Linked DNA regions of Diceros bicornis minor. The protein of the gene in region 4 interacts with the protein of the main gene of each other region in a pairwise test. Links are inferred from orthologs where the notes say so. Each region holds a gene or a part of one and is shown on either strand. Other genes may lie near its edges.

What was found.
Region 1: the proteins of PRMT1 (region 4) and CDC37 interact in binary tests that used the Homo sapiens proteins (3 or more experiments, as listed by UniProt). The link is inferred for Diceros bicornis minor from reciprocal best matches to the Homo sapiens genes PRMT1 and CDC37.
Region 2: the proteins of PRMT1 (region 4) and SPEG interact in binary tests that used the Homo sapiens proteins (3 or more experiments, as listed by UniProt). The two-hybrid records come from large-scale screens. The link is inferred for Diceros bicornis minor from reciprocal best matches to the Homo sapiens genes PRMT1 and SPEG.
Region 3: the proteins of PRMT1 (region 4) and EWSR1 interact in a two-hybrid assay, tested with the Homo sapiens proteins (2 studies listed by BioGRID and IntAct). The link is inferred for Diceros bicornis minor from reciprocal best matches to the Homo sapiens genes PRMT1 and EWSR1.

The regions. Positions count from the first base shown.
Region 1 is NC_080769.1:8,807,596-8,814,754, reverse strand, and holds the start of CDC37 (hsp90 co-chaperone Cdc37), read right to left. Parts: upstream 3,255-7,159; 5' UTR 3,211-3,254; coding exon 3,109-3,210; intron 1-3,108. Other genes in the region: collagen alpha-1(I) chain-like, read right to left, coding at 4,607-5,079. UniProt on the Homo sapiens protein: Co-chaperone that binds to numerous kinases and promotes their interaction with the Hsp90 complex, resulting in stabilization and promotion of their activity. Inhibits HSP90AA1 ATPase activity.
Region 2 is NC_080776.1:9,697,225-9,704,552, forward strand, and holds the start of SPEG (striated muscle preferentially expressed protein kinase), read left to right. Parts: upstream 1-4,074; 5' UTR 4,075-4,129; coding exon 4,130-4,508; intron 4,509-7,328.
Region 3 is NC_080774.1:22,947,670-22,955,367, forward strand, and holds the start of EWSR1 (RNA-binding protein EWS), read left to right. Parts: upstream 1-4,461; 5' UTR 4,462-4,563; coding exon 4,564-4,576; intron 4,577-7,698. Other genes in the region: RHBDD3 (rhomboid domain-containing protein 3), read right to left, coding at 671-1,054, 1,707-1,896, 4,315-4,461. UniProt on the Homo sapiens protein: Binds to ssRNA containing the consensus sequence 5'-AGGUAA-3'. Might normally function as a transcriptional repressor. EWS-fusion-proteins (EFPS) may play a role in the tumorigenic process.
Region 4 is NC_080773.1:25,063,052-25,070,170, reverse strand, and holds the start of PRMT1 (protein arginine N-methyltransferase 1), read right to left. Parts: upstream 3,086-7,119; 5' UTR 3,071-3,085; coding exon 3,035-3,070; intron 910-3,034; coding exon 856-909; intron 645-855; exon of another isoform or gene 555-644; coding exon of another isoform or gene 537-554; intron 320-536; coding exon 218-319; intron 1-217. UniProt on the Homo sapiens protein: Arginine methyltransferase that methylates (mono and asymmetric dimethylation) the guanidino nitrogens of arginyl residues present in proteins such as ESR1, histone H2, H3 and H4, FMR1, ILF3, HNRNPA1, HNRNPD, NFATC2IP, SUPT5H, TAF15, EWS, HABP4, SERBP1, RBM15, FOXO1, CHTOP, MAP3K5/ASK1, MICU1 and NPRL2.

The sequences.
Region 1 (7,159 bases), on a different chromosome or scaffold from region 4:
CGGAGGAAACGCTTTATAACTGGGGGTGGTCGTTACCACATCATCAGTAACTCCACGACCTACCCGTGACGTGCCCTTGACCTTGGCCAAGCCGCTTACACCTCTCCCTGCCTTGGTTTCCCCTCTGTGAAATGGGGCCTCGCACTGCTGTGAGGACTGAGCTACTCGACAGAAACTGCCGGTAACACCGGAATCAGTAGACGGGTCCCACTGTTACGACCGTGGTCACGGCCACTGCCACCAGAATGGTCTGCTGACTTGTGTCTGGGCCTCATTCGAGGCTGTATCACGAGTTCGAGCACAGGGCCAGGCACATGGAGCATGAGAATGGGGAGAACCTTCTCTAAGGCCCCACAGGGCTGGCATGGCCAACCCGGAGCTCCCTCTCCCCATGTGGATAAGGGGTGGAGAAGGCTCTCGCCTCGTGGAGGGGTAAGAGAAGGCAGCCCTGGCCCCTGCCGCCTCCCCTTCTCCACCGTGGGCCTGCGTCACCCTGGAGCCTTCCCTCTGCCTTGCGAGGGGCTCTCTGGGGTTGGCACACAGCTGGCCTCGGCTGGCAGCAGGACCCTACCGCCCTGCTGGCTTCTGCTGCGCGGCCACCAAGCTCTCCCAGGTGTCGTCTGAGTGGCCGCCAGGGAGGCCGAAGCTAAATAAAGGGCTTGGAGCTGGTGGGGCGGCAGCCTGCCCGGCCTGGGCTTTACACCTCCGGGAGGGGCTGCAGCAGGCCGGGCAGGGCGGAAGCCACGGCAGCCAGAAGGTGCCACTGCCTCCCCGCCTTACAGACAGGGAAACTGAGGCTCATGGAATCTTGACGCCGCACAGCTCACTGGAAGGGCCCCAAGAAACCAGTAATGGCAAAGGAGCCAGGGAGCTGGAGCTGGGAAGCCTCACCTGTCCCCTTCTGGAAACTTCGGAATTTTTTTTTTTTTTACCATGAGTGTGAATTATCTAAATAAAAATGATGACAATAATGGCTAAGGTTTACAGAGAGCTCATCACATGCCGGCTGCTGTCCCAAGGGCATTACAAGCGTTAAACAAATAAGGTGACCCTTATAACAACCCTCTGGGGTGGATACTATTAATACTGCCAGCTGGGGAAACTGAGGCACAGAGAGATCAAAAGATTCGCTGGGGGTCATGCAGCAAGTCAAGGATTCAGGAGCCAGGATGTGAAGCCAGGTGGGCAGGCCTGTGCTCAGAAGCACACCCAGATGCCTTTTTACTAACCCCACCGCCCCCTCTGCTACCTTACTCCCTCTCAGGCCCTGAGCCAAGTTCTTTTCAGACCCAACCTCATTTCATTCTTACAGTGGTCTTGGGGACCAGGGGTCTTGCTGCCCCCAGAGCAGAGCAGCAAGGGGCAGGGCTGGGATTAGAACCCAGGCTTGCCTGCTGGTGGAGCCGCTGAGGCCCCCTGCCTCCACTACAGCCTCGGGGCTCTCTTGGCAGCAGGACAGGAAAAGGTTCTGGGCCAGGAGGGAGGCGGGAAGAGGGCGTGGCGGGAGGAAGACGCTGCAGGAGAGGGGGCACCCGCCTCCCACCCAGCAGGACCAAACCCTTCTCCATTCTGAGCTATAGATTAACCTCTGAATGTGACAGAAAGAGGTGTTCCCAAGAATAGTCTTTTAGAGCTTTGTGAAGGTCTTAAGTATTTCATAATAAGGTGTTACACACGGCAAGAAGCACAAATGCTAGAACTTTCTTCTTACACCTCAGGGGCTTGCCCGGCAGGCCAAGAGACAGCTGCTTTAAGAAATGGGTTGGAGATGGAACCGGGAACCAGCTGTAGGGACTACCGCCCTGTCTTGGCAGGACAGAGAAGGGCCCTTCTAGGAGGTTCTGGATAAATGACTGGGAGTAGCCATATGGGAGAGTGGAGTGAGGAATTTCTAACTGGAAGGTTCTGAGAAATATACACTCTCAGTTTGAGAGTATAACATAGGTATGTGGGTACAGGAGTTCTGATTTGGGGGAGCAGGTTAGGCCATTAGGTCTTATGAGAGCCATTCTGTTGGTCTGCCAGCACTGCTGGGCAGGGAGGGGGGCAAGAGGACACCCAGACTTAGGATTCTGGGTCTGGATTTAAGAGCAAAGAGATAAAAGAAGGGGCAGTGAATTTGGAATCACACTGGGAGGGTCCCTGGTGGGGGCAAGGACAATCTGGGTGTCCGAGAACAGCAGACCAGCCTGGGGTCAGGAGGAAGGCGAGGTGGCCTTGGGTTTGGGTGACAATTCCAACGCCAGCAAAGGTTCCCACAGGAAGCCTGTCTTGGGGTGGGCAATGACTGGGTCTGCACTACCCAGCAGAGGCAGGAGTTCTGGCTGGGCGGGAGCCACGTGGGTAGGGTTTCCAGGTGTGATGGGAAATGAGGTCTGCAGTGGGTGACACTAAAGAAGAGCGGCTGGAAGTGGAGGCTCCCTCAGGGTGGAGCTGGTGGCTCAGTCTGGAAGGGAACACGATTCCAAAACTCTAGTCCTAGATGGGACTGAAGGCCCTGGGGGGGCACGGGTCTACACTCTAGGAAAGGAGTCTTGGGTATGGCTTCGAGTCCCAGGCCAGGAACAGAAATCTCAGGGGAAGACAGAGCTCCTTGCTTTGTTTGGAGGAGTGGGATCTCTGGATCTGAATGGGAACCCCGTCAAGACCCAGGGAGGAAGACTCCAGAATAGAAGCAAAGTATTAGGGGTCCAGACTCTAGGAACTGGGGAGGGCCGATGGGATATCCAAGAAAAGTGGGTACCCGAATAGGACCCGGGTCCAGACTCTGAGGCAGAGTTCTGAGTGTAGATGGAAGGTCCCAGACAGGATTGGGGGGCACCCACAAAGCTTATCTTGAGAGTCTAGCCTCCGAAGAAGGTGCCCTATGGATCAACTGGGAGTTCCATGCAGAAATCGGAAGCGGGGCCCGGATCGCGGGCAGGAACCCAGGGTCCCGGCAGTTCTGGGGTCCCGGAGTTGAATCAAGGAACCCCGGGCGATAATGAAAGTCCAGACTGCGGGGTGGGGATCCCGGGTGTCAATGGCGGGGCCCTGGCGGTATCGGGGGGCAGAACTCCGGAGCGGAGTCCCGGCAGCGGGGGAAGGGGATGGGCGCACGCGCTCTACCTGGTGCCGCCAGCGGAAGAGGCTGGCCGTGTCGATGTTGGGGTGCGTCTCGTCCTCATCGTCAGACACCTCGATGTGGTCCCACACGCTGTAGTCCACCATCTTGCCTCGGCGGCCCAGCCCGCTCCGGCGGCGGCGGCAGCGCTGGAGGCTCAGCCCGCGGAGCCCCGCCCCTTCCGTTTCCGCCTGCGCGCGCACGCCCCTGCCCGCGCATGACGTCACATCCTTGGTAACGGCGGCGGCGGCGCTGGAGACCGAGCTCGCCTTAAAGGGCCCTGCGCACGTGTGCTGGCCCCCGGGAGTCCCCGCCGAGACCCCCTCTCATCCGGACCCAGGCACCTCCTGGGGGTATACGGGAGGGCGCTCTAACCTCTATCCCCCCGCATCTCCCGCTGCCCCACGTCGGGCGTTTGCGGCGGCCGTGGGGTGGAGGGGACAGTTCGTGAGACTGAGGGAGAGGATTGTCCCCTTAGTCACGCCGCAGTGACGTCAGCCCGAGCCCACTGCAGGGGCGGGGCCTCGGCGAAACTACCCGCCCCTCTGCCCTGTGTGGGGAGGGACCTAACCCTACGCTGGGGAGGGGTGTGTCGGATCGCAGGGGACCTTCCCAGTCCGAGGGGTACAGGGCCCTGCCCTGGGAGCCTGTAACTGGAGGAGGGATATGGCCTTGCCCTTGGGGCGTCGGAGGTGGGGGCGAAGTGGCTGTGCTTTGGGGGCTGCTGTTTTCCAGGCTCGGGCACAGCGTCCTCATCTTCCGCCACTCTTGAGCGGGGATTCGCGCACACACGCCCACTCTGGAATCACCCGGATCCCCCGCAACGGGTCCCGGGCGCCCGCCCGCGGCGTCTCCCCGTGCGGCCGCTAGGTGTCGCTAATGTCTAGCCAGCGGTCAGGGCTCCTGGCCCCGTGCAGGGCCGGGTCGGGGGGGATCGTGGAGGTGCGGATGGGGGCTTTCCTCGTCGTGGTGCTCTAGGACCCCTCCAGGCCCTCCCCTTTCGTTTGGGGCCCCCTGCCTCGGCCGGAGCTCTAAGGACTCCCTTACTCTGAGCTTGGGCGACCCCAGCCGCACTCTTGCGTACACCCCAACCCACGCTTTGATACTGGGATAAAAGGCCGTGTTGCAGCCGAGGGCCGGGATTATCTCAGATTAAAGGGCGCTCCGTGGGGGCCGGGTGGGATGGGAGGAGTTTCACTCGGGTGAGGGGCGCCTCTTCCCAGAGCTGCTGTTTGCAGGGAGGGGACTGGAGGGGATGGAGTAAAGGGCTCCAGATTGGGGGCGGATTCCCCGGCCTGGGGAGGAGGTGGGGCCATTCAAACAAAAGCGCCCGCCCGCTGCCGCCCCTCCCCCTCGAGCTCCATTCAACCCCGTGAGTGGGCGGGCGGGGGAGTCCCTCTCCTCCCCCTCCCCCAACCCCTCCCCCTCCAGCCCGGGCAGTCCAGCATCTCAGCGGCCGTCACGGCCCGAGCACGCGCGCAAGGACCCACACCCCAGCGGGTCTCACAATCGCGCACACACACGTACACACACCCCAGCAAACAAAGGGTCTGGACACCCCTGTCCCCTCCCGCCCCCCAGGCCGGAGAGGGCGGGGCATCCCCTCCCCAGCCCCCCTGCAAGGTAAGCTTCGGGCTGCGAGCTGCGGTGGGGAGGGAGACCCGGCGCCCCGGAGGGAGGGGGCCAGGACAGTGGGGGCTTCCTCTGCTCCCCAAGAAAGCCGGGCCCCCCCCGTACGCCCTTGGAGGCTTCAGGCCGGCTTCCGGGCTCGGGGTGTGTGGGGAGGACCCCGGATGTCGGGGATTCCCGGGTAGGCGCGGGGGGGTCTCTCCCCGGCTTCGGAGACTGAAGCTGCCCGGTGCCAGCGAAACGGGGTCCTAGGAGCCCCAGCTCCCAGAACTGGAGAGAGGGCGCCGGAAGCTGCCCCATCAGCGAGGAGCATTTCCGAATCTCCTGCCAGCACAGCATCTCCAACCCTGGGGACCGAAACAGAGACCCCTGAGTTGCTTTGCACTGTCCCTCGGTCTCCCACCCCCCTCCTCCCGTCAGAGCATCCCCTGCTTCGTTTCTCGGACCTGTGAGGTGGGCGCGGGGGCTGGGAGTGCTCCTCTGGGCTACACAAGCTTCGTCTGCTGTATCCCACAGCCACGCACTCGCTACTGAGCTGCGGTGGGCCCCGGCAAGCGGCTTTGCCTTCCTGAGCCTCAATGTCCCCATCTGCAAAGTGGGTAATGACACGGCCAGGATGCCCAGGGGCCATGCACGCGAGCCTGCCTTTCCTCCATCATTTATTTCTTAGCTCATTTCACACATATTTCCCGAGAGCCTGCTATGCGCCACGGCGCTGTGGCCAGGCGGGGGCTACAGCCACCAACAAGACCAGCTGGGTCCCTGCTCTGCTGCCCCTCAAGGCTGGCGAGGGAGCAAGATCCGTGTCTAAACAGAGAAGTACCCGCGGCGATTGCAGACCGTGAAGACGAACCTTCCATCAGGCAAGGGCGGGGGTGGGGGGGTGTTGGAGATTAAATGAGATTTCTGGGTCGTTCCTGCCTTCCTTGTTCGCTTCAGCTCCACGAGGGCAGGGCCGGCTTTAGAACAGGGCCTGGCACACAGTTGGCGCCCCATAAATGTTGAATGAATTAAAGAAGGGCTTAGATTAAAACTATTTTCATGGCACTTGAGATCAGGAAGGAAGCTTATCATGAACCGATCCATCCCCTCTCCCATTTTACAGATGAAGCAACTGAGTCCGTAAGACCCAGAGAAAGGAAAAGATGGTGTTAACGGTGATACAGGGAGTTTATAAGGGGACATCATTCCCCTAAAAGTGAGGATGGCTGAAGGCATGGTTGTGAACAGCTGAGAAAGAAAGAGAGTAGAGAACACACTTGCACACAGGGCCCCCTGGGAGCCCAGCGAGCACCCACCTCTCCCTCTGTACCATGCAGACACAGCCCTGCATTCATCCATTCAACAAGTATTCAGCGCCTACTATATGCCAGGTGCGGGGGACACAGCAGTGAACAGAGCAAAACTCCTTGCCCCCCTGGAGCTGATATTTAGTGGAAGAAACAGAAAAGAAACAACATAAACAAACAAATAAATATATAACAACAAATTATGATTAGGACTTCGATGGAAATAGATGGCTTCTGACAAGAAAGAAAAATGAAAGGGTGCAATTCAGATTCGGCATCCAGGAAGACTTCCTGGAGGAGGTGGCTTACTCTTCACACACACACTTGAATCCAGACAAACGTAATCATACTAACAAATACTCAGGCTGAAGCCTGAGAACCTAATGTGTCTGAGGCCATACAGCTCATGAGTGGCTGAGCAGAGAATTGAACCCCAAATCTGCATTTCTAACCACTGTGAAATGCTGTTCCTGTTGCATCCACATGCATGTACCCCACCTCCCCAACACACACACACTCATATGACAGTCACACACAGACATGACCTGTCACCCTGTCCTGTACACACACTCCCACAGGTACAGTCTGATCTCAACTACGCAAACTCAGACTCACAGAAAGTTCCACCCGTCCGGTTGCACATGCACAGTTGGGTACAAAGTCTCATGCACGCACACACACGTGCACACACACACGCACGGCGCCCCTGACTGTCCTTCTCAGCCCTGCTCCAGCTCCAGGCATGGAGCTTGAGTAGTGATTGTCCCCTAATTCAGGCTTGAAGGCTCAGGGCCAAGGTGTGGCCAAGGGTGCTTATCCTCATTTCCTTCCATCTTGTTGGCTCCCCGTCCCCATATTGTTTTCAGGGAGGATGTTGGGCTGGGTGAAGCCATGTCGGGCCAGGCCAGGGGCTCCCAGGCTGGGCCAGTGGCTGACAAGCTGGGTGGGGAAAAGGCCTCTCCCAGCCTGAGCCGGGTGCCAGCTGCCCAGAGTGGCCTGCTCTGCCATCTGGACGCCCCTCCCCAGCTGGCCTGCTGCCCGGGGGAGGGGAAGGCAGTTTAGTGCCCCCATCCACCCGGGCACTCAGGCTGGCTCCTGAGGCCCTGCCTCCCCAACCTGGGTTTCCGCCAGGGCTGAT
Region 2 (7,328 bases), on a different chromosome or scaffold from region 4:
GTGACCCAGGAACTCTAGGACAGGGGAGATGGGTGTGGTGCTCCCAGAGAATGGACAAAAATAAACCAAAACAGATCTGGGCCTCGTGTGGTCATACACATACACCCCATTGCCTCCATGGCAAAACCTCTCTCTGCTCTTTGGGACACTCTGGTGTCTTCTTCAAGACTCTGAACATAGAGAAATAAGAGGGCTCACAGGGGGCTGACTGGCTTCCCCCTGGACCCACACGACCAGTTCTAGACCAACTCAGACCCCACCTGAGCGGGTGGAGTAGGAAGGATGGTGGAGGCAAGTATGTCCCTAAGCCAGGAACAGAGGTCTCAGTGGGCACCTTCCTACCCTCTCTGTCCACTCTGGCTACCTTTCCACCCCCAGCCCCTTGAGACAAAGCAGGCCACCCATTCCCCCCACTTCCTCCTCTCCCTAAAAGCCTGCCCAGGATACAAATGCAAATACATCAATGACCTTTGATTCAACACCTAAAATGTCAGCTACCCAAGGGCAAGGTTTTTACTCATTTTTTTCACCACTGTAATGTACCCCAGTGCCTGGAAGAGTGTTTTGTCCATAGAAGGTGCTCATTAAATATTTAAGTATTTCTTGAATGAATACCCACTGGGCACTTCTATTTACTTTTCTCTAAATTAAATATTTACCAGAAAGGCTGACGGCCCCCACTTCATTCACTGATTCAACCAATACTGACTGAGCTTTTACTAGGTGCCAGGCATATGGTGCATCATTATGACTCAGCAGAAACTCCCCACAGCCCAGAGAGGTGGGGTGAACTGCCAAGGTCACACAGCATATCTGTGGCAGAGGAGGACTAGGCCCCAGGCTCCTTGGCCTCCAGAGCCCAGATTTCTTTCCATTACACCATAGGCTTGTGATTGCAAGGCAGGGCAGATTGGCAGCACACACCCAGACTGGCGCCAGGCCGCGGGGCACTGTGGGGCCCATGCTGAGGGACAGATGAACGCCTTGCAGCCAGCTGCCCCCGGTGACCAGCCTGGCCAGGGCCTGACCGCTTCCGGCTGTCACAGCTAGTGCGGGGTCCTCCAGGAGAGGGCGCCCGAGACTCGCTCGGCCTGTGCCCTCCCTAGCAGGCCCACACGCTCCTCATGCGCACATCAGTGCATGCCCCCATTACCGACATTCAGACGGGAGACCCACAAGCTTGTTCCAGGCTCTGTGCCAGGCCCTTCTAAATAGTTACTATTCATTTTAATATTTAATATAATAATTTAAAGCCATCACAACAAGCTAAGTCAGATCATGTAATTCCTCGGCTCAAGATCCTGAGATGACTTCCCATTTCTCTAGGAATAAAAGCTCCATGGTCTACAAGACGCTCAGCTATCTGATCCCTGCTACCTGTCTGATCTTATGTCCCTCTACTCTCCCCCCACTCCCTCCAGCCCCTCTGGCCACCTGCTCTTCTCAGAGCCCCCAGGGCACAGTCCCACTCCTGCCTGAAGCAGTCCTGCCCAGACATCTGCACCATTTCCTTCCTCTCCCCTTCAAGATTGGCTCAGCTGTTCCCAGCGAGGTCAATTCCTATACCCTATGTGAGAACGCAAGCCCCCACCACACTCCCATCCCCCTTACCCTGCTAGATTTTTTTCCACAGTACTGTCTCCTTCTAACGATCTATATCGTTGCTTTATTTCTTTATATTTGTCTCCTTCCTCGACTATAAACAGCATGGGGGCAGGAATCCTTGTCTGTTTTGTCCACTGCTGTACCTCTAGTGCTTAGGACAGTGCCAGGTACACAGTAGGAACTCAAAAATATATGTCGAATGAATGAATAAACCGTGAGGTGGGCTACGCCCATTTTATAGATGAGGAAACTGAGGCTTAGAGATGTTAAGGGACTTGATCAAGATCACACAGTTCATTTATTCAACCAACTGACCAGCCAACCAGCCAACATTTACAACCACCTACTGCATTCCACGCAATTTGGTGACGCACAGTGCTGGGTGGCTTTGGGTTATTGGTTTTTAAAAAGTCTCTAGTCCTTTGTTCCTGATGTTCCTTCCACTTACAATGCCTTCCTCCACATTTTTACCTTTTAGAATTTAATTTTCGTTTAAGAATTCAATTCATCATCCACAGTTGCCAGGGGTTGGTGGAGGGGGCGTGGCTGACTACAAAGGGGATGCTGGGCGAATATTTAGGGTGATGAGACTGTTCTGTATGGTCCTGGGGTAGCCGATGCGCAGTTCTCTGCATTTGTCAAAACCTGGAGAACTGCACATCACAAAGAGTAAGCTTTAATGTGTGCAAACTAAAACAGAAAATTTCCTTTTTCAAGGCTATTAGTCCCTATGGACATAATTCCGTGTTTCAATTGTTTCTTTCTACCCTCTCCATGCACACACAGACATAAGCACACTTTGACTTCCGTCTCCCAGAATGATGGTGGGGGATAAGGAGGCGACATTAAGAGTATCTTTCTCCATCTCCTAGGGACTCAGGGCTCTTCTCTTGGCTGCTCTCTGCCCTTCCCAGCTTCATCCCTCAGGGCTCAAGTTCAGGCCTGGGTCTCTCACCCGAAGTTTTTTTTAAACTTTTTATTTTGAGATAATTACAGACTCACAAGTGGCTATAAGAAACAATACAAAGAGAGCCCATCTACCCTCCACTTGGTTTCCCCCAATGGAGTATCTTGCATAACTATAGTACCATATCACTGCCAGGAAATTGCCATCGATACAGTTTACCCACCTTCTTCAGATTTTACCAGTTTTACATGCACTCATTAGTGTGTGTGTGTGCACGCGTGCATGTGTGTGTTTGTGTGTGCACTTAGTTCTATGCAGTTTTATCACATGTGCAAATTCATGTGACCACCACCAGAGTCAAGACACAGAACTGTTCCATCACAAAAGTCTCACTTGGACTCTTAAAAGCGGTAATGTCCTATCTTGATGTTTCTCAAAGTGCAACTCTTAGATGCCTCTGAGTCACCTGGACCACTTGTTAAAAGTGCAGATTCCTGAACTCTCCCAGCGACCCTACTGAACTTGTGTCTCTGGGGGGGTGGCAGAACCTGTACTTTATAGAGGCCATACTTTGAGAACCACTGGTCTAACTGGTCTCCAACTCGCCCATCTCCAGTTCACCCTCCACACTATGGCTGCCAGAGGAATCGTTCTAAAACACAGCTCTGACCACATTATCCTGCTGCTTAACACTCTGCACAGGGGCCCAACTGCCATCAGGATAGAGATCTTAGCAAGCAAAGCTCTCTCCGTCAGGCCCCACCTCCCACCTCCACTCACCCCACCACACTGCGGTTCAATCCCTCCAAACTCCTCCAATTTCAGAACACATCATCTACTTTCACCACACTCTGATTTTAGTCATGCTGTTCCCTCTGCGTGGAACGTCCTTCCCACTCTTCTCTGCCTGTTGCAACCCTATTCAATTACTCATTTTTATGGATGAGGACTTGGAGGTTGAGAGATGTTTGGTGTCAGCCAGCAAGTAAGGGCAAGACCAGCTGGGAGCCGGAATCCTCCTGACTCCTTGCTCCTGGTTTTACTGATCACCGCGCTGTCATGGAGGCTGGGGGCCGCCCCTGTCCTCTTCCCTGCTGTCTGCTCACCTCCACTTGGGCCTCCCTCCCCATCTGCCTCTCAGGCAGATCACCCAGGGCCTCTCCCTCTCCCTCAGCCAGTGGGACAGGGAATCAGGGGTCTGAAAGGAGGGAGGAACAGGAATGGGATTGCGCTCAGGGGTAACCCGACTCTGGGGTGGGGGGCAGGCACACCACGGGGGAGGGGGCTTGGAACAAGTCCTCAGGGACCTGTTTAAGCTGAGGCAGGCTATGGGGGCTCCTGGAGGGAGAGAAGGAGCAGAGAGATGTCCAAGTTCCCTCCTCTGCTGCCCCCTCCCTCCACAGCTCCCTCGCAACCCGAGCCGGGGGGCCTAAAAATAGCCCCCGAGGCGCAACCACTGGCCGCCCTGGTGACCTTCTGGGTAGCACAGGCCGAAGGCAGGCGGGCAGCAGGAAGGCAGGACGCCGGCCCCCCAGGACTCATCTCCAGGGCACCGTCCCCTGGGTGCCCCCGTGGCCATCCAGTTCCAGCGTCTCCCCAGCCCAGCTCGCAGAGGCCATGCAGAAAGCCCGGGGCATGCGAGGCGAGGACGCGGGCACGAGGGCACCCCCCAGCCCCACGGTGCCCCCGAAGAGGGCCAAGGTGGGGGCCGGCGGAGGGGCCGGGGCCGGGGCGCCCGTCTTCCTGCGGCCCCTGAAGGACGTGGCGGTGTGTGCGGGCAGCGACGTGCGGCTGCGGGTGGTGGTGAGCGGGACGCCCCAGCCCGGCCTCAGCTGGTTCCGGGATGGGCAGCCCCTGCCCCCGCCGGCCCCCGAGCCCAGCTGCCTGTGGCTGCGGAGCTGCGGGGCACAGGACGCCGGCGTGTACAGCTGCAGGGCCCAGAACCAGCGGGGCCAGGCCTCCTGCGAGGCTGTTCTCACAGTGCTGGCGGTCGGAGGTAATGGGGAGGAGAGGGCTCGCCTGGCGGGGTGGGGTGTGCAGAGGTAGACCAGGCCTGCTCCGGCCACGTGGGGAGGTACCGGTTCATCCAGCCTTCTCCCCAGGTGCTCTGGCTTCTCAGCTGTGCTGATCCAGAAGTGACCATCAAGAGCAAAGTGCAGGGAAAGTGATGTCAAGGTTGAGAGGCTCTGTGTAGGAAGGTCAGAGGTCAAGGGCCAGCATTTGGTAGGCAAAGTCTGAGCCCCACTCAGGCCTCTCTGGGAATTCTGTGAAAGCCTTCCTAGTTTCCCTGTAGAGAGAGGCCTTCTGGGAAATCACCTTCATCAGCTTCAGCAGTTTAGATTTGAGACCCCTGATCAACCCCTTACAGGCATGTGCATGACTGAAGGAGGGGCCAGTCCCCTGGTCCTGCTGCACTGTTGAGGGGATGGGTCAGAGCTCCTTGCAGTCCATTGCTGGGGCAGGTTGATATGGTTGGCACCAGGCTGGTTGGAAGAGGCCAGTGAGTGGACAAGTATGAACAGGGTGCAGAGCATCAGGGCTGGGGTCCTGGGCGTGTATGGAGGTGGGTGTTTGAGAATCCACATGCAAGCATGCACGTGGCAGGTGCGTGTACCGGCTGTGGAGGGGTCTGGTGGTACAAGCAGATGAGGGACAGGTGTTTGTAGAGTTGGTATGGAGAGTCCATGGATATGTCTACCTGAGGTTCTAAAGTGGATGTTTGGAGGGCCTGGAAGGGAGATGCTTGTGAGGGTAGAGTGCCAGGCTCGTGTGTAAAGGGATGGATGATGGTCCGAGGCAGAAGGGGAGAGGCATGAGACTAGGCCTGGTGCTAGGGTCCTGCTGGGGCTGGTGTGGGTGCCAAGCCAGGGCCGATTCTCCTTGGGTCAATTTTTGGGCTTCCTTTTTGACTTCCTCATCCCCGAAGCCAGCCAGTTCTTCTCCAGGCTTAAGACAGAACCTTGGCAACCTGAGTCTTGACAAATAGAATTCTGAGAAAGTAGGCTACAGTCGGGGGAGATGGCAAAGAGCTTGGGGGCCGCTGAATCTGCCCTGGTCATTTTCAAGAGGGAATTCTCACTCCAGCTGGATGATGTCTTGTAGGGGTATATGCTTGGGGGCTAAGGAGGAGGCTCAGGGATGAAGGACCTAACAGCTGGAGGGGAAAGAAGGCTCTAGAGTGCAGCCAAGTAAAGAGATGAAGCAGAGGCTCAGCTCCCTCTGTCAGCATCTCGGCTCTCTCCCTAGCCCCACCCTGCCCCACCTCCTACAGTCTTCAGTGAGAGAGAGGCCAAGGCTGGCTTCTCTTGGGTGGCCTCACACCTGTCCAGGTACTGGCTTTCCTAGCCTGGGGATAGGGGACCAGGCATGTCCTAGCAGAGCCCTGAGGTGAGAAAGGATCAGATTCCTTGGGGATCTTAGCTCCGGTCCCCTTAGGGGCAAAGGGGACTGAAAACAGAACATAAATCAGAGGGCAAGATAGATTGATGAGAATACGGCTTGGGGGAGAGCGATATTAGGGAAGGGAAAGGCAGCGCTGAGAAGGAGTGTGGTGGTCATAATGTTTGTTTAAACTTGGGAAGAACCACAGAGAACCACAGCTCCAAACACTGCCTTTTACGGGTGAGGATGCTGTGGTCCAGAGTGGAGGGAGATCTGCCCCAAGACATACAGCTAGTTATGGCCCTCCCAGAACTAGGGACTAGTCCTCCTGGTTTCTGATCTGGGGACTTGTTACTACTCCAGAAGTTCTGAATGGAGGAGAGAGAAAGGGAGGGGGAGCTGTCCATTGTATGGAGAGTAGTCCAGATCTGGCCTTTCTGAAAACGAGAGCCCCCTACTCTGCCCTCGTCCCCCAAAGTGGGGAGAGTGACAAAGTGCTAGAGCCCCCCAGCAGGGCTGTGTCCTCAGCCCTTCTGTAATCTGGGGCATGGTCGGCAGAGGTGAGTCCTGGCTGGGTATGTTTAGACAGAGGCTGGGGGCTGGTTCCAGGCTGTTCTGGTGGACTAGCATGTCTGAAAGGCTTGGGGTGAGGAAAGGACCCTCGGTGCTCTGGGGCTGGATGTGGGGCCTTTTGACAGTCATGTTAAAACAGGAAGAGGGATGGGTTGCAGCAAGTCACATTTGAGAATTTTTTCATCCTGGTGAAATCTTTACCCCAAGGGTGGCCTGATAATTATCATTAATTGGTAATAATTCTTAGTAGTCATTTATAATAATATGAATAGCTACTATGTTACTGTGTGGCAGGCAATATGCTATCACATCCTTTGATATATCTTTTAAGTCCTGTGGCAACCCTGGGGAAACTGAGGCCCAGAAGGATTAAATGACATGTCCTGTTGTACAGACAGAAGAGGGCAGAGCAAGAATGGAAGGCTTGGTCTGTCCCACTGCAAAGAACCATGTGCTTAACTACTACGCCCCTCCCACACGATGTGGGGGAGGGAGGGGCTTTGCTTTGGTGATGTTGGGGGACAGACTGGGTGACTCGGGCTTCTTCCTCCTATTGCCCGCTCCCACTCACCTCTGCCCAGGAATAGGTCCTGCTCAGGGCAGCTGGGCAAGCAGCTCAGTATTGCTCAGACTTATTCATGGAAAACTTTCTTGGTTGGGATCAACAGCAGGAGGACTTCAGGGTTCTCGAGGAAGCCCAGCCAGGACCTGGCTACAGAGGGAAGGAGGCTGTTTCCTGGCTGGGATTGCAGTCTGGCTCGGCAAGACGGGGTGATGCTAAGGTTCCTGGCACTCTTGAAGCCTGAGATGTTAGCTCAGGGGTGGAGGGATGTTGGCATGGCTTGAGGAGGCTAGGGCCTTA
Region 3 (7,698 bases), on a different chromosome or scaffold from region 4:
CCCCAAAAGCTGTCTCATCCCGTTTCAGCCACCCCCTGCCCCGTTCTGTTCCCAGAGCCCTGTGGCGTGCTCAGGTCTGTGACTTGAGGCCAACTCTTGGGCCCAGTGACATATCCCCTATTGCCCTCAGCCAGGGAAAGATGCTGCCCATGCTCCAGGATTCAACCAGGCCTGGGCAGCTGGCATCCCCAGTCTTAAATGCCTACAGGGGGTCAGCCTGTGCCCACTGTTCTCTCCAACTGCACTGTTTTCCTTGCCAGGCACTAAGTATCTTTGGAGCAAGAGCCTGTGTTGAACACACCTGCACCACCAGCCAGAGGCGGCACCTCCGTTCAGTGCCCAGACAGCCCCAGGCTCACTCTCACCCCTGGCCTTTGACCTTTCTGTGCCCTCTGCCTGGCCCACTCTCTCCTTTTCCACTTCTCTTCACCTGAACTCCTCATCCTGCACATCTCAGTGTAGATGCTGCCTCCACTGAGGAAGTCCAGGTTAGGTGCTTCTTTGGGCCACTTCGGCACCTCCACCCGGCCACGAGCCCCCAGAATGTGTGTGCACAGGTTCCCAGCATTGTTGGGGCTACCTCCTTGTGCCACTTCCTTTCCAGGCACCCTGGGGGCCCAGCCACAGAACCCACATGTCCGCATGGGCCCTCGGCCCAGGCAAAAGATACAGGCCAGGCCAGCAAGGAGGCCGCAGAAGAGCTGTAGGAAGGGTGGCTCGGAGCTGAGCAGCGGCGTCAGGGCGAGCAGCAGCCATGGCAGCAGCCGCGGTGGCAGTGCCCCATGGGGCCGTCTAGGGTGACAACCCTGCCCCGCCAGCATGGCCAAGTGGACAGGCATGTATCCGCAGCCACCGGCTGCACTGGACACCCCGAGGCCTGCCAGCAGCACGGCCATTAGCCCGGTGGCCAGGGCGAGCAGGGCAGAGGCATGCAGGAACCGCAGTGTGCCCAGGTGGCACTCCTGCTGCCAGCCCAGTGTAGGCAGGAGCAGCAGGCTCAGGAGCAGGCCGGGTAGGGCCGTGTGGCCCAGGGCATGGGTCAGCAGCCGGTGCACTGGGGGAGAGAAGGGGTTTATGTGCCAGGTTAGTGGCCCTAACCCCCAAGGCTGTCCCAGGTGTTCCAGGTTGGAAATTACGCTGCAAGGGCCACCTGCTAAGCCAGCCTCCCCTCTCCAGGAGTCAAAGTCTGCCCATTGCCAGCACTTTAATCATGCATGCAGGGGACCAGGACCAAGGACCTTCAAACACTGTGACTGCTCCCCTGCTGTATTAAACAGAACAAGCCGGACCCAACGCTCAGTCTTCTCAAAAGCAACCAACTGTGCACGAGTCACTTAACCTCTGTGAGCATTAGCTGGGTTCCTCAAATGTAAATAGAAGCTGCTGTTATTACTGGGAAACAGGCACTCAGCTGGGGTCACTCCTCGAACCCCCAGCACCTCCTCCCCACTCTCATGCTTAGCTGAAAGCCTTAGTTCTTATTTCCAGCAAAAGTCATCAAAAAGGGAAGTCATCTGAAAAGAATTCCTACCCACAGGCTCCCACCCCTCTGCTGGCCCCTCTGCTTTCCCTTCTTGGCTGTGAATGAGCTGGGCATGCTCCCGTCCAAGGCTGACCTTCCCCAGGGCACACCACTCCTGCCAACTGGTCTCAGGCCCTACAGCAAGTCTCCTGCCTCCTCCAAGGCCCATGTGGCCAGCCCTCACCTTGCCAAGGGTCCAGCAGCAGCTCTGGGGCTAGGGCAAGGCTGGGGCCAGCCCCCACCAGCCACAAGCTGCTCATGAGCAGCATCAGGACCGAGGAGGCGAGAGGCAGCGCTGGTGACAGTAGGCCAGGGGGGCCTCTGGCAGGCATAGCTGGGCTGAAGGTGGTCAAGGGTGGTCTTCGGGGTGTGTGCTAGAGGCAAAGGAAAACAATAAGTTATTTCTGCAGCTTTTCTTTGATTTCCTTTCAACCACCCTACCAGCGGCTCCATTTTACAGAAGTAGAAACTAAGGCTGGAGAGGCAGGCCCAGCAACTTGGCCATGGAGGAGCTCGGATCCTAACCACGTTCCTAGCCATTTTGCCATCCCATCTGCCTATGTGTGAAGACGGGGAGGGGCCAGGCCAAAAGGGCCCTGAGCCCTGATGGGCCCTAAGGAGGAGTCTGGGGTGGGAGGCACAGGGCCAGGGAAGTTTAACGGGGGCCCTGGACTCCCAAAAAGAGGGGTGGAGCCCCCCATGGCAAACTCAGGGCCATCTCCAGCTTTCCTCTGCTTCCCTCTTCCCTCTGGTTGTGGACCAGCCACCTTCCTCCCTCCTCCCCTCCACCGGGCTCAGCCTTAGGGCTCCAGATGGCCCCAGCTGCACTTAAGGGAGGAGGTGAGGCCAGCCAATGGGCAGGCAGATTAGGGAGGAGGCGGGACAGACTGGGTGGAGGAGGGGCAACAGGAGTCCCTCACCCTGAGTGCATACAAAATGACACCGGACTGACACATCCCCTTCGTGAGTCCTGAGCACAGCCCCTCCAGCCCTAGCCCCTCTTCTCACAGGAAGGTTTTAGTATCCACTCCACTTCTTCCTGCTGTGCATCCCTGGGCAAGTTTTCCAGCCTCTGAGCCTCTCCTTCCTCATCTGTAAAATGGGGATTAAGAAAATCCTTTCCTTATAGGATGAGAAAAAGGAATGGGATAATGCAGGGCCGGGCCCACAGACCCTGCTCAATGAACTGCAGCCATCCGCCTAATTGTGGGAGGCAGATATAGCCAGCAGCTGGCCCACCAAGAGGAGGCCTCAACATAGAGGCAACTGCTCCTGCCTAGCTGTTTCAAGCTCTGGCCCTCAAACATGCCAATTCCCTGCCCACAAGGCAAGGGTTTTTCTTCCTTGTTCTCTTCCCTCACATCTAGCCTGTCCTCCAGGCCCTGCTGGAACCCCCCTCACCCCTGGCCAGGCCTGCCTCAGGACTCCCACGGAGCTGATTTCATAGGGCAGGAAGCAAAATCCCACAGAGACCCAAAGGCTGCCTCACCTGCTCCCTTGCTTAAGGGCATCCTCAGCATCAAAACCCACCTGCCAGTTTCCTGCAGGAAAAATGCAGAAAGCTCCTCTGCCTGCAATGTCCTTGCCTCCATCTCGCCAATAGGCAAACTCCTATTCACGCTTTGAAGCCCAGCTCAAATGTCCCCTTCCCCTCCTCTGGCCCCCCACATCATGGATCTTAGCCTATCTAATGAGCACAGCTTGGCCTTTCTCCTTAGACAGGTGGTCTGAGCTGGGGAAAAGGGGTGCTCTTACTCATCCCCCAGTTCCCCCGGGTGCTCCCAGCACATAGCTGGTGCTCTATATGTGTTGACTGAAATAAAGCCACTAGCTTTGCTCCAGGTCCCACTGAGGGGTTTGGGTGAGCTCTGCACTTCCCTGGGCCTGGGAACCTGCCTGGGGAGACTGGGTTGAGTCCAGGAAGGCAGACAGGTGCCAGCCTTGTCCGGAGCTATGGCACCCACTGCCAGCCTGCTTTTGCACCCTCACAACCATCCCTCCCTGGGTACCTCAGCAAGAGTTAAGGACTTGCCCATAGACTAACAGAACTAGGACTTGAGTCCTCCGGGCCTCAGTCTCTTCATCTATAAAATGGGGCTGTGCACCATCAGGCCCTGCCTACCTTACTGAGAAGCCAGGAGGACAGAATGGGAAGATAAAGACGGGTAAGAGTCTTCCGGGTGATGAAGAGAATGGGGGTCCCAAGGTGTAGGTCAGACTCAGCTTTGTGACTTTAGGAAAAGTACCCAAATTCCCTGGACCTCAGTTTCCCCTTCTGTAAAAACAAGAGTTTTGGATGGGGGATATTAAAGGGCCTTCTCAACCTCGACCGTTACCGGGGAGGGGGGGGCGGCTCTCGGGCCGGGCACCACATTCGGGGCCTCCCATCCAGCCCACCGGCCTCAGCCCCCTCCCCCGCCGGCCTGGGCCACGTGTCGGAGTTACTCACTGCGGAGCGCGCCCCCCGCCCCCGGAAGCCCGCGGGGGGCTCCCGCCTGGGAGTCGGGACTCTAACTTCCCGCCACGGCGCGAGCGCCCGGAGCCCATTTTGTTCGCAGTCGGGCGCGTGACCTCTGCCGACCGGCCGGCGCACCACCCCCTCCGCCGCCGCCCGCCGATTAGTCAGCAGTTGTTCTAGGCCCGGGTCCCTTCCCCCAACCCTCCCGCCGGCCTCCGTTTCCCTCCAAGGCAGACTCTTCAGAGACGGTCCCTAGAGCCAGCGGACGTAACCATTCCGTACGACTTAGCCTCGTGCGGAGAATCACTCCGGCTTGATACCAAGACACGCTCACCGGCCGCTCCGGCCCCTTTGGTGCTATTTTGGCCCGCGCGTCACGTCCGGCGCTCTTTAGAGAGGAATAGCACAAGAGTTGCGGGCGGGAAGGACCAGAAAGCTGTGGTTCATCCCTCCTTCCCCCACCCCCGTGGCCTGGCCCCATGGTAGCGCCCGAGGTTGCGGGTTTCGCGCCTGCGCAGTGCGGCGCCTAAAGGGAAAGCGAGAGGGAGACGGACGTTGAGAGAACGAGAAGGAAGGAGAGAAAATGGCGTCCACGGGTGAGTGTGGTGGAGCTGCGGTCGCGCCGGCGACGGCTGGGTCGCCCAAATCGGGGGCCGCTCGTCTCTGGGGGTGGCCGGGGCAACTAAGTGGAGTTGCTGAGAAGCGTGTGAGGTACCCGCCGCGGCCCGACGAGCTCGAGGGCCCGCGTTCCCCTCCCCTCCCCCCACCGAGCAGGCCGGTTCTGGAACCTTCTGGCGCCCCCGGCGCGCGGGGGGCTCGCGGCGGCGGGGGCGCGCGGGGCTCGCGGTGGTCTCTATTGTGTGGCGGCCGTCGGGTCCCGCGCTCCGGGCCGCCCGCCACGTGGGCGGGGCCTGCGGCCTCCCGGGCCCCGCGTGGGGGGAGAGGCTCGGCCAAGCCTGGAGCCTGGCGCCCCGAAACCGGAGGCGGGGGGCCAACGGCGGCTCTGGGGCTGCCACTCTGACCCTCCCCACCCCCATTTCCAGGGAGGCGGTTCGAGCTGGAAGGCGAGTCTGCCTCAGTGAGAAGCCCGAGTAGGGGGAAGCATATCAACAAAAAAGGCATCGCGGGTCCGTGGGCCGAGGGGCGCCGACCGATGAGCGGGAGCCCCGTCATCCTGATGGCCGGGTCGGCTGGGGCGTACGGTGCCGCCGAGCTGCCCCTTTGGCGGGTTCTAGCCCCGAGCCGAACTTTTCTGCCCGCATGGGCTTTAGAGGGAATGTGCTCCCCCTTTAGAGCCTCCCCATCAGCTGCCCCCTGGGCTTCTCCGTTTATTATAGTTATTAATCCCATCTCTTCCCTCCCTCAAAAGTAATTAAGTAGTCTCCTAGGATCATTTTTCAGTAGACGCCGAGGGAGATCTGTTGTATAAGGTCAGCCCGAATCGCGAGGCCAGAAATCCCTCCCAAAAGAAATTTCTGGTCTCTTTGACCTAGGAGAAACAAAAGGCCCGAGTCGGCGTTTGAGTTGTGCTCGAGCAATCGTCTCGCACGTTTATTCTCATATGTTAAGCCGACAGGCTTGTTTATTTCGTGGACTGATAGAAAAGAGGGAAAGGAGGCACACAGTGGGCTTGGAAAGAAAGCTCGGGGTGGGAGCTCGGGCGTGATGTCTAGGGTGGTTCTTGCTGCACAGAGCGTTTGAGAGTGTAGCCTCCACATCACCTGCGGTTTGTTCTAGGGCTAAGCTGTGGTTATTGGTAGGATGGGGCATTATTGCCTCCGGGGGTGTTCTTAGAGGGCCTAATTCCAGGCCCTAGAGGCAGTGGGAGAAGACGAGATAAGACAGGAGAAGCTCTGGGTCCTTCAGAGTTTTAATTCGAAAAGGTTCAAGACTCCAGGAACTTAGGGACAGTTTAAGAACTCTTCCCGAACTGTGTGGTCAGTAAACAGGCAAGTAAATGCTGGCTGTTAGTGCCAGGGTACAGAGTGCCCCTAGAAGAGAGGACTCTGGAATACCACAGTCCAATACACATCCTGGTGGGAAGTGGTTTCCTTAGAGGCCTTTCCACCTTCCTCTTCCCTGCAGTGTTTGAATTATGTAAGGGGGAGTCAGAATGTGTATGTTGAAATTTTTGTGTGGCTGGACGTGCCAATTTTTTGGTCTATTTTGCTCAAACTCTCTTTACTGGTAACCACCAGGTACTGTGTTAGAATTACAGTTGTGGTTTATGTAGACACCCAGCAGTAGGCCTGGCTGGGGAACCTTTGGAGAGTCCCGCAATTTATCTGGACTTTGGTTTCCTTTCCTTTGAAATGGAGGAGTTAGGCTAGATGTTTTAAGAGCTTTTTAAGCCCTTAATTTCTGTCTTTACAGCAAAGCATTTGGGCTCCCACAAACTTCCCCCATACTGACTTTAGCTTATTATGTGGTATGAAGCTCTAAATCTCTGCAGTTTGGATACTGACTGCCCTAAAGTATCTAAAAGCCACTACCTTGGATAATGCTCCATGTTTTTCCTACTTATGTATATCATATATAGAGAAGTACCTAAAGTGTGTCTGGTTTAACAGAGAATTACAGTGCAAACTCCCAAGTAACCACCTTTCAGACCCGGAAATAGGACACTGCCAGCACTCTAGAGGCCCCCCTGGATCACAGCCCCTCTCTCCTCAACCTGGCCTGTTATTTTTAGTGAAATCTTCAGCTGCAAGTTTGGAGGTTAAAAGCAAAACATAACTGATGGCTAAATAATCTGACCAGTGTGTAACTGGAACGTTTTTAAGGCGGTATAATAGTGTTTATGTGCAGTAGGTTGATAACATAAGTTCTCATGAAACAAATTTGCTACCTCACTTAGCCGAACAATGTGGGGCTAAATCTGCTGATTTCACACACACATCGGAGATCATTCGCTGTTCCACATCAGCTTTGCCAACTTTATGTTTTACATAACTCTTCTTGTGTAAAAGTCTTCTTGCAAACATTGAACTTACATGTCAGTGATTTAGAATCATTTCTCACGTAGAAACCTCAGCAAAATGTAGGTTGAAATATTTTGATTTTTGATGCCTCACTGGTGTGTTTGTGAATACCACATGGAAGAAGTGATTTGTATTTACTTTTTATATGCCACAGAGAGCATAACTTGTAGTGCTATTGAAAATGCCTTAAGTTTTAACCTTAAAATGTCTTAGGGTCATCTTGGAAAAATCAGTTTGTTCATTATACATAGCCTTTGGGCATTTGATTTGATCATGTTAATGATTCAGGGTTCTGCGTTAAAGATGTGTACAGAGGAAGGAAAGTAGTCAAGTGAGGTGTAGAGAGGTAGAAAGATGAGCCAACTTGAAAAGATGGATTCAGGAAAATGCTCTGAGGCCAGGTGGACTGTGAGGCAGGATGGAGTTGAGGTAGAAACCCCACCATGAAGAGCTGAGATGTCAACTGTTGCTTTCAGATGAGGGACTACTTTCTGGTTGGAAAAGAAAGGAGCCTTTTGTTCAGCCCTATTGGCAGTACTGTTTTCTAACAGAATAAGATATGTATTTCTTGTGGAGAGCAAAGAATTAGGTAGAATTTTTAAAAATAATTATTTTAACTCCTTTAAATGTAAGCTTAATTCAGTAGTGCTGTGAAAACTTCATAACCATTTTATTTTCTGTTTGTTTTCACTACTCTTAGACACCTCACCGGACCACAGTTTTTAGTCCCTTTCTGT
Region 4 (7,119 bases):
CCAGCCTCCCAAGAGCGGCCCCGTGGAGCTGCCAGGTTCACCTCGGTCTCCAAGGCAACGGCTGAGCGAAAGGACCCCCGGAGCGTGTGCCACGCATGCGCAAAGGGGCGGCCCGCTGCCAGGGGAGGCACTGCACATGCGTGGGAAATTCAGGTCCAGCCCTGCCAAACATTAACCCCACGAAGAATCAGCATTCTCAGGAACTGTCCACACTCACCTCGTGGATGCCGAAGTGAGCGTACGAGTCAAAGTAGTAATCTTTGGAAGTCATGTCCTCAGCATTGGGCTTCTCGCTGCTCTCTGCCTGGCCACAGGAGACCTGGGAGGGGTGGATGGGAGCGCGGGTCAAAACTGGGGGCTCCCCACGGCTTCTTAAACCTCCAGGTCCCTACTTATGAAGAGCATAGACACCCCCCAAATCGTACCTACAGCCCCCGCCTGCCATCTTGCCTCCCCCAGAACCCCAAAACCTAACAACCCCATTCTCTCTTTCCAGGACCCCCCCCAAAGCACCATCCAGGGGAGCACCCCGATACCTCAGCCACGCCTACCATCTCTCCAGTCTCTCTGCCCCCATCTCTAGCTCAGCCCACAGCTGGAGAGGGGAGGGGAAGCAGAACTGGGGTCGACACAGGGAAGGGCAAAGGGGGGCTGGGAATGGAGTTAAGGAAGTAGCCACAGTATTGGGGGAGGCCAGCTGGGGGCCACAGAGCTGGAGGGAGTTTGGAGTAAGTGCTTCGGAGGTACGGAGTAAACAGTTTGAAGCAAGAGAGATCATGGTTAGACTGCTAGGAAGGGCCTGATGTGTGGCAAGACATGTTTATGTGGGGAAGGGTCTCACAAAAGGATATTTACTTCTTCAAGAGGCGGCTGGAGGCTCATCCCATTAGCCAAGGTGGCTACAAAATTCTAGGAGAGAGTAACAGGGAGAAAGGATTAGCTACTGGGGGTGGCTAGGGGAAGGCCAGGCCAGAGGACACAGGCCCGTAGGGGCAGGGGGGTGTTGCCTGCAATTTTCCTTTTCCTTGGTGGGGAGTGGTGACAGAGGGAGCAAGTAAAGAGGCGGGGCTGTTTTTAAAAAGAGAGAAGTGGAGGGAGAAGAGAGGGGTCCTGTCTCAGCTGTGGCTGGAGAGATGGTGGCCTGCCCCAACACTGCCCCTCTCTGGCCAGGCACCTGACCATACACACCTCCCCCATCCTGGCCAGAGGAATGGCACCCGCCGGGCACACAGGCACTGCCAGCTGTCACTCCCCCTCATCATCTAATCCCCCCAGATTAGGTGACATTTCCTGACACACACCCCCATCCTGGGGTGCCAGGAGTAGCTGGGGGAGGGGGGCTGGCAAGGTGCACCCACTGGGCATCTGCCACCTCTGCAAACCAGTCTCTTATGAGAGGATTCCAGAAAGGAGGTGTGGCACCCCCACCAGAGGTGGCACCCCAGCCTCTACCTCCTGCGTTGGGCTCAGGAAGGCCAGAACAAAACCAGCTGGAACCAATCACCTCTCTTGTTACCCTCTACCCAGAAAGGTAGTCCCAGGGAGGATGGCCAGACTCTGGCCCCTCAAGCCCCTCTCCCCTCATTCACACACCCATCCAAGGCCCTGAAGCCCCCCAGGTGTGGGGCCAAGTCCGGGGACAACCTCTGGGGAAGATATTTCTTCCACGACCAGATACAGGCCCGGGTCCAGGAGAGAGCCATGGGGGGTGGTCACACTGGAGTGACCCCTGGGAGCTCCCCCCCAATGGTATGCATCTTGGTGACTGAGGCCCCATCACATTACATCTCTTCCAGATGTGACCACCCTCCAAGCGTGAAGTCACAGACACGACCCACTGGGCTCCAAGCCCCACTCCCATCCTCCAAGCCAGTAAGGAAGCCTGGGGAGGGGATTTCCCACTGGGGCCCATTTCTCAACACCACTAATACCACCACCAGACGAGCCCCAAGAGGGCTTGAAATCCAGCACCGCAACCAGCCCCACATGGCAGCACAAGAACCAAACCTCACGGGAAACCACTTCATGCATCAAAGCTCAGGACCCCTAAATAGGACATCAGGAAGGGGGAGGTCATCTCCCACTCTCACAAATGCGTCGGAGAAAGGGGTCCTGTAAGGGGTTAAGCTCGCAGCCTGTATTCCATCACATCCCCTTCCCAGCAGACAAACTCTCCCTCCCCTTGCCCCGGAGGGCTCCAACCAGGAGGTGGGCTTTGGGACACGCCCCATGAAAAAGATGTCCCTCCCACACACCCAGAAATGGCCACAAGGGGGTGCACGAAGCCTTATCGAGAAGGATCTCCTTCAGCTAGGTGCCCCCCCAGAGGGAGGTCACAGGGGCATACCCCATCCCCCCAGCTCCCAGAGCGCAGGGCGGGGGAGAATCCAGCAACAGGAAACGGGACGGCCCGAAGGGGGCCAATTCTTAGTCTTCCTCCAACCCCAACCCCAAAGTGCACGAAACCTGGACCGATGCCTAAGCAGACGCCCCGCTCCCGGAAAGGGGGTTGCAGAGGCTCAAGATACATCGCCCCTCCTAAGAGGCTCTTTACTTCGCAGAGGACCCCAGGTAAGTGCCACCAGAGGCGTATGTCACGATCCCCGGGGAGGTGGGCTGGGGGCGTCCGAGGGAGGGTCGGAGCCTCCTCCCCGCCCCCCCGGGCGCCCCTCCTCCGGTCGGGGGCGGGGCCTTTGTCCCACACGTGGAGCCCGCCAGGCCACCGGGCACGGCACACCCCCTCCCCACCCACCGCGCCGCGGCCACGTGGGGGCCAGGCCGGAAGCGCCCCCGGCCCTCCTCCACGTGGGAGGGGGCACGATACCCACGGTTCGGCCGGCTGCCGCGGGCCCCCGAAAGCTAGGGAGCCCGAACTTCAAAAGGTACCCCCGGATCCGGAATATGCGACGCCCTCTCGGTACGGCTGGGGGCCTTCTGCCCCAATCCGTCTATTCGGAGCTCCTTCTCCATGACGGAGGCATAAAACACCGACCCCCAAACCGCCCCCGCCCCCGACGGCGCTCCAGGCGCTCACCTCCATGATGCAGTTCGCGGCCTCCGCTGCCGCCATCTTCACCCGCACCTACTCCTCCTCCGGCCGCCGAAACCCCCCCCTTTCTCCGCACTCCCCCGGGACCGTCTTATACCGGAGGGTCCACGGCCCGCCCAGCGCGACCCCGCCTGGAGATCTCATTGGCAGTGAAGGCGGCCCGTCTGGGAATACCATTTGACAATTGGACGAAGAAGACGCCCGTCAAAGTTCAGGGGCCCGCCCAGTCTGGCGTGTAGAGCCCCGCCCCCTTAAGTCGACCGGGATGGGAAAGACTGCCCGTCTATCGTAAGAAGCGCGACTGATGATTGGGCAAAGTCAACCAGGAATTCCCGCCCGTTCCCCCACCAGCACCGCCTCACAACTTCCCGGCGGGCCCCGCGCTAAGTGGACATCTTGAAATAGAGCTGTCCGTCACCAAAACGATCCGCCTTTTAATAGCTGCTATTGGCTTAGCCCAAATGTGACGTCACGAGGACTTTGGCCTGCCCTCGCCAAGCTGTCGGCCTCGAGGGGAACACGGGATTGGCCCATCAGGAGGTAGGTACCGTTTTAGGCTTCAGCGATTGGTTAGAAGGACTGTCACTCATCGCCCATTCGGTGGATTCTCCCAGCCCTAGGGGAGTCCAGGAGGAACAAGAGAGCGTATGCCTATTTACCCGAGGGGAAATGTGAAGCAGTGCGAGGTCCAGAGAGGGAGGGCTTGTCCGGGCTTGCGAGACAAGTCAGGAATAAGCCTCAGGCATTGAGGCATTTAACCTTTAGCCCTCTATTTAACTGCCCCAAGTTTTTAAAACCCAGGGAGCCCGCTCAAGCCGCTTGGACTTTGCCAAGCCCCTCCCATTGCCGGGAACACCCGCCTCCCTTCGTCTGGCCAACTCCTATACGTCAGTCAGGGCCCAGCTCAGAGGCCGCCTACTCCAGGAAGCTTTCCTCGTCCTGCAGAAAGTTACTAGTTGGATGAAGATGAATGCGACTTGCAGAATCTATCCATCACGCCAGATAGTTCCTTTATGACCATTTCCAGTCAAGACCTCCCCCTTTCTGTTTTCTGTCACTATAGTGTAGCTTTCCCTTTTCTAAAATTTCATATGAATGGAATTATACTCTTTGTGCTCTTTGGTGTCTGTCTTTCACTCAGCATAATGCTTTTGAGTTTCAGCCATGTTGTTGCATACAACAGTTGTCCCATCCTTTCTACTGCTGAGGAGTATTCCATCGTGTGGCTGTATCACAATTTGCTGATGGACATCTGGGTAGTTTCCCGATTGGAGTTATTACAAATAAAGTGGCTATGAACGTTCACCTACAAGTCTTTCTGTGGACACACACTTTCATTTCTCTCGGCTAAACCTAGAAGCAGATGGCTAGGTCGTATGCTACGGTTAGGTGTATGTTTAACTTTATAAGAAACTCCCAAGTTTTCCAGTGTGTTCCACCATTTTCTTGAATTTTAACCATTCTTGTGGGTATGAAGCGATATCTCGTGGTTCTCTTTTGCATTGTCCTGACCACTAATGTTGAGCACTTTTTTGTGTGATTGTTGGCCATTTTTCTGTATCTTTTTTTTTTTTTCTGCTTGAGGAAGATTGGCCCTGAGCTAACATCTGTGCCAATCGTCCTTTATTTTGTATGTGGGATACCACCATAGCATGGCTTGATGAGTGGTGTGTGGGTCTGCACCTGGGATCCGAACCCTCGAACCCCGGGCTGCAAAGCGGAGCGCGCGAACTTAACCACCATGCCACCGGGCCAGCCCTTGTGTGTATCTTCTTTTATCGAGTGTTTGTTCAAGTCTTTTGCCCATTTTTACAAACGGTTTTGTTTTCTTTTTTCTTTTTTTTGGTATGTGTGTGAGGAAGATCAGCCCTGAGCTAATATGCTATGCCAATCCTCTTTTTTTTTTTTTTTTGCCGAGGAAGATTGGCCTTGAGCTAACATCTGTGCCCATCTTGTTCTACTTTATATGGGACGCCACCACAGCATGGTGTGACAAGCGGTGTCTCGGTGTGCACCCAGGATCCAAACCCGCAAACCCCGGGCTGCTGAAGTGGAGTGCGCACACTTAACCGCTTGAGCCACCGGGCCAGCCCCTACAGTGTTGTTTTCTTATTCAGAAATTGTAAACGTTCTTTATAGATTCTGGAGACAAGTGTCTGTCAGATATATCTACTTGGAATATTTTCTCCCAATCTGTGATTTGCCTTTTCATTTTATTAACGTTGTCTTTGGAAGAGCAGAGATTCTAAATTTTGATGAAGTCCTATTAATCAATTATCACAGCCCACATCTTGACCCCTACTGTACTGCCTTTTTTTTTTTGGTGAGGAAGACTAGGCCTGAGCTAATATCTGATGCCGATCCTCCTCTTTTTGCTGAGGAAGACTGGCCCTGGGCTAACATCCGTGCCCATCTTCCTCTACTTTATATGGGACGCCGCCACAGCGTGGCTTGACAAGCGGTGCATCGGTGCGCGCCCAGGATGTGAACTTGCACACCCTGGGCCGCCGCAGCAGAGCGTGTGCACTTAACCATTACGCCACCGGGCCGGCCCCCCGTTTTTTTTTTTTTGCTATTTTTCCAAATGTTTCAGCATTTTTGTGAGTGTGAGGGAGATCGGCCCTGAGCTAACATCTGTTCCCAATCCTCCTCTTTTTTTGCTGAGGAAGACTGGCCCTGGGCTCACACCCGTGCCCATCTTCCTCCACTTTATATGGGGCTTGGCTGCAGCATGGCCTGACAACTGGTGGGTCGGTGCGCGCCCGGGACCCGAACTGGCGAACCCCGGGCTGCCGCAGCGGAGCGCGTGCACTCAACAACTTGCGCCACCAGGCTGGCCCCGTGTCAGCATTTTTTAACCTTTTTTTCTGATTTCCAAGTATTTTGACCCGATCAATTACTTTTGCTATGTGCTGCTACGAAGAGCAAAAAATTAATACAAACTATCTCTTCAACACTACAGAATAACCAAATGTCATTGAAAAGAGGATGGCATTGGGCAGGGGGATACCTGGGTATAGAGTTCAGGGGAGAGATCTGAGCAAGAGTCAGAAGTGGGGGCATCATCAGCATTAAATTCTGCATTTTCCAACATGGCAGCCACTTGCCCCATGGGGCAATGAGCAATGGACTGTGGCAAGTCTGAACCGAGATGTGTTGCGAGCGCAAGACACACACCAGATTCTGAGGACTTTATATTAAAAAAAAAAAAAGAATCTCAGGGCCGCCCTGTGGCGAAGCGGTTAAGTGCGTGCTCCGCTGGCGGCCCAGGTTTGGATCCCAGGCGCGCACAGCAGCACTGCTTGTCAGGCCATGCTGTGGCGGCGTCCCATATAAAGTGGAGGAAAATGGGCACGGATGTTAGCCCAGGGCCAGTCTTCCTCAGCAAAAAAGAGGAGGATTGGCAACAGATGTTAGCTCAGGGCTGATCTTCTACACACACACACAAAAAAAGTGTATTATCATAAGCCGCTAAATTTGTGGGATTTGTTACACAGCAATAACTAATATACCTCAAAATGTCATTCCTGCTCTACTTAGAAATCATGGTTATTAGACGCTCTCTGGGTGTTGTTAATTGATGTTAATGAAGAAGCATGGCTATTATTATATACACTCATTTTTATATCAACACTGAAAACTTTATTTCAATATACGGTCGATTCTTATGATTTGTGGTGTATGTTCTAAAAAGTCGCTGCGAACACTGACTTAGTGAACACAGAGCCATCGTTCCTAAGGAAAATTCAGGGTCAGGTTCCTGTGAGCCTCTGGTCCCAACACTTTTGTCAGCCCACCAATAAACAACCTTATTTTATGTGTGTTTTCTGCTTAAAGTCACCTTACTTAATAGATATTGTTCATTCATTCACAGTGAACTCTCGGCCAACAGCACTGTAACTCACACCTGAACAAAGCTCATCTAACACACATATTTTCTCCATAAGGCACATCGCAGCCTTCTTGTGCTTAGGAGTGCTAGCCAGCACTTCAGGACTGTGCTTGGGGCTGTGGTAACAGTGAAATCACCACAAAAAGCACAAAAATGTGAAAAACGTGGCACTAAATAG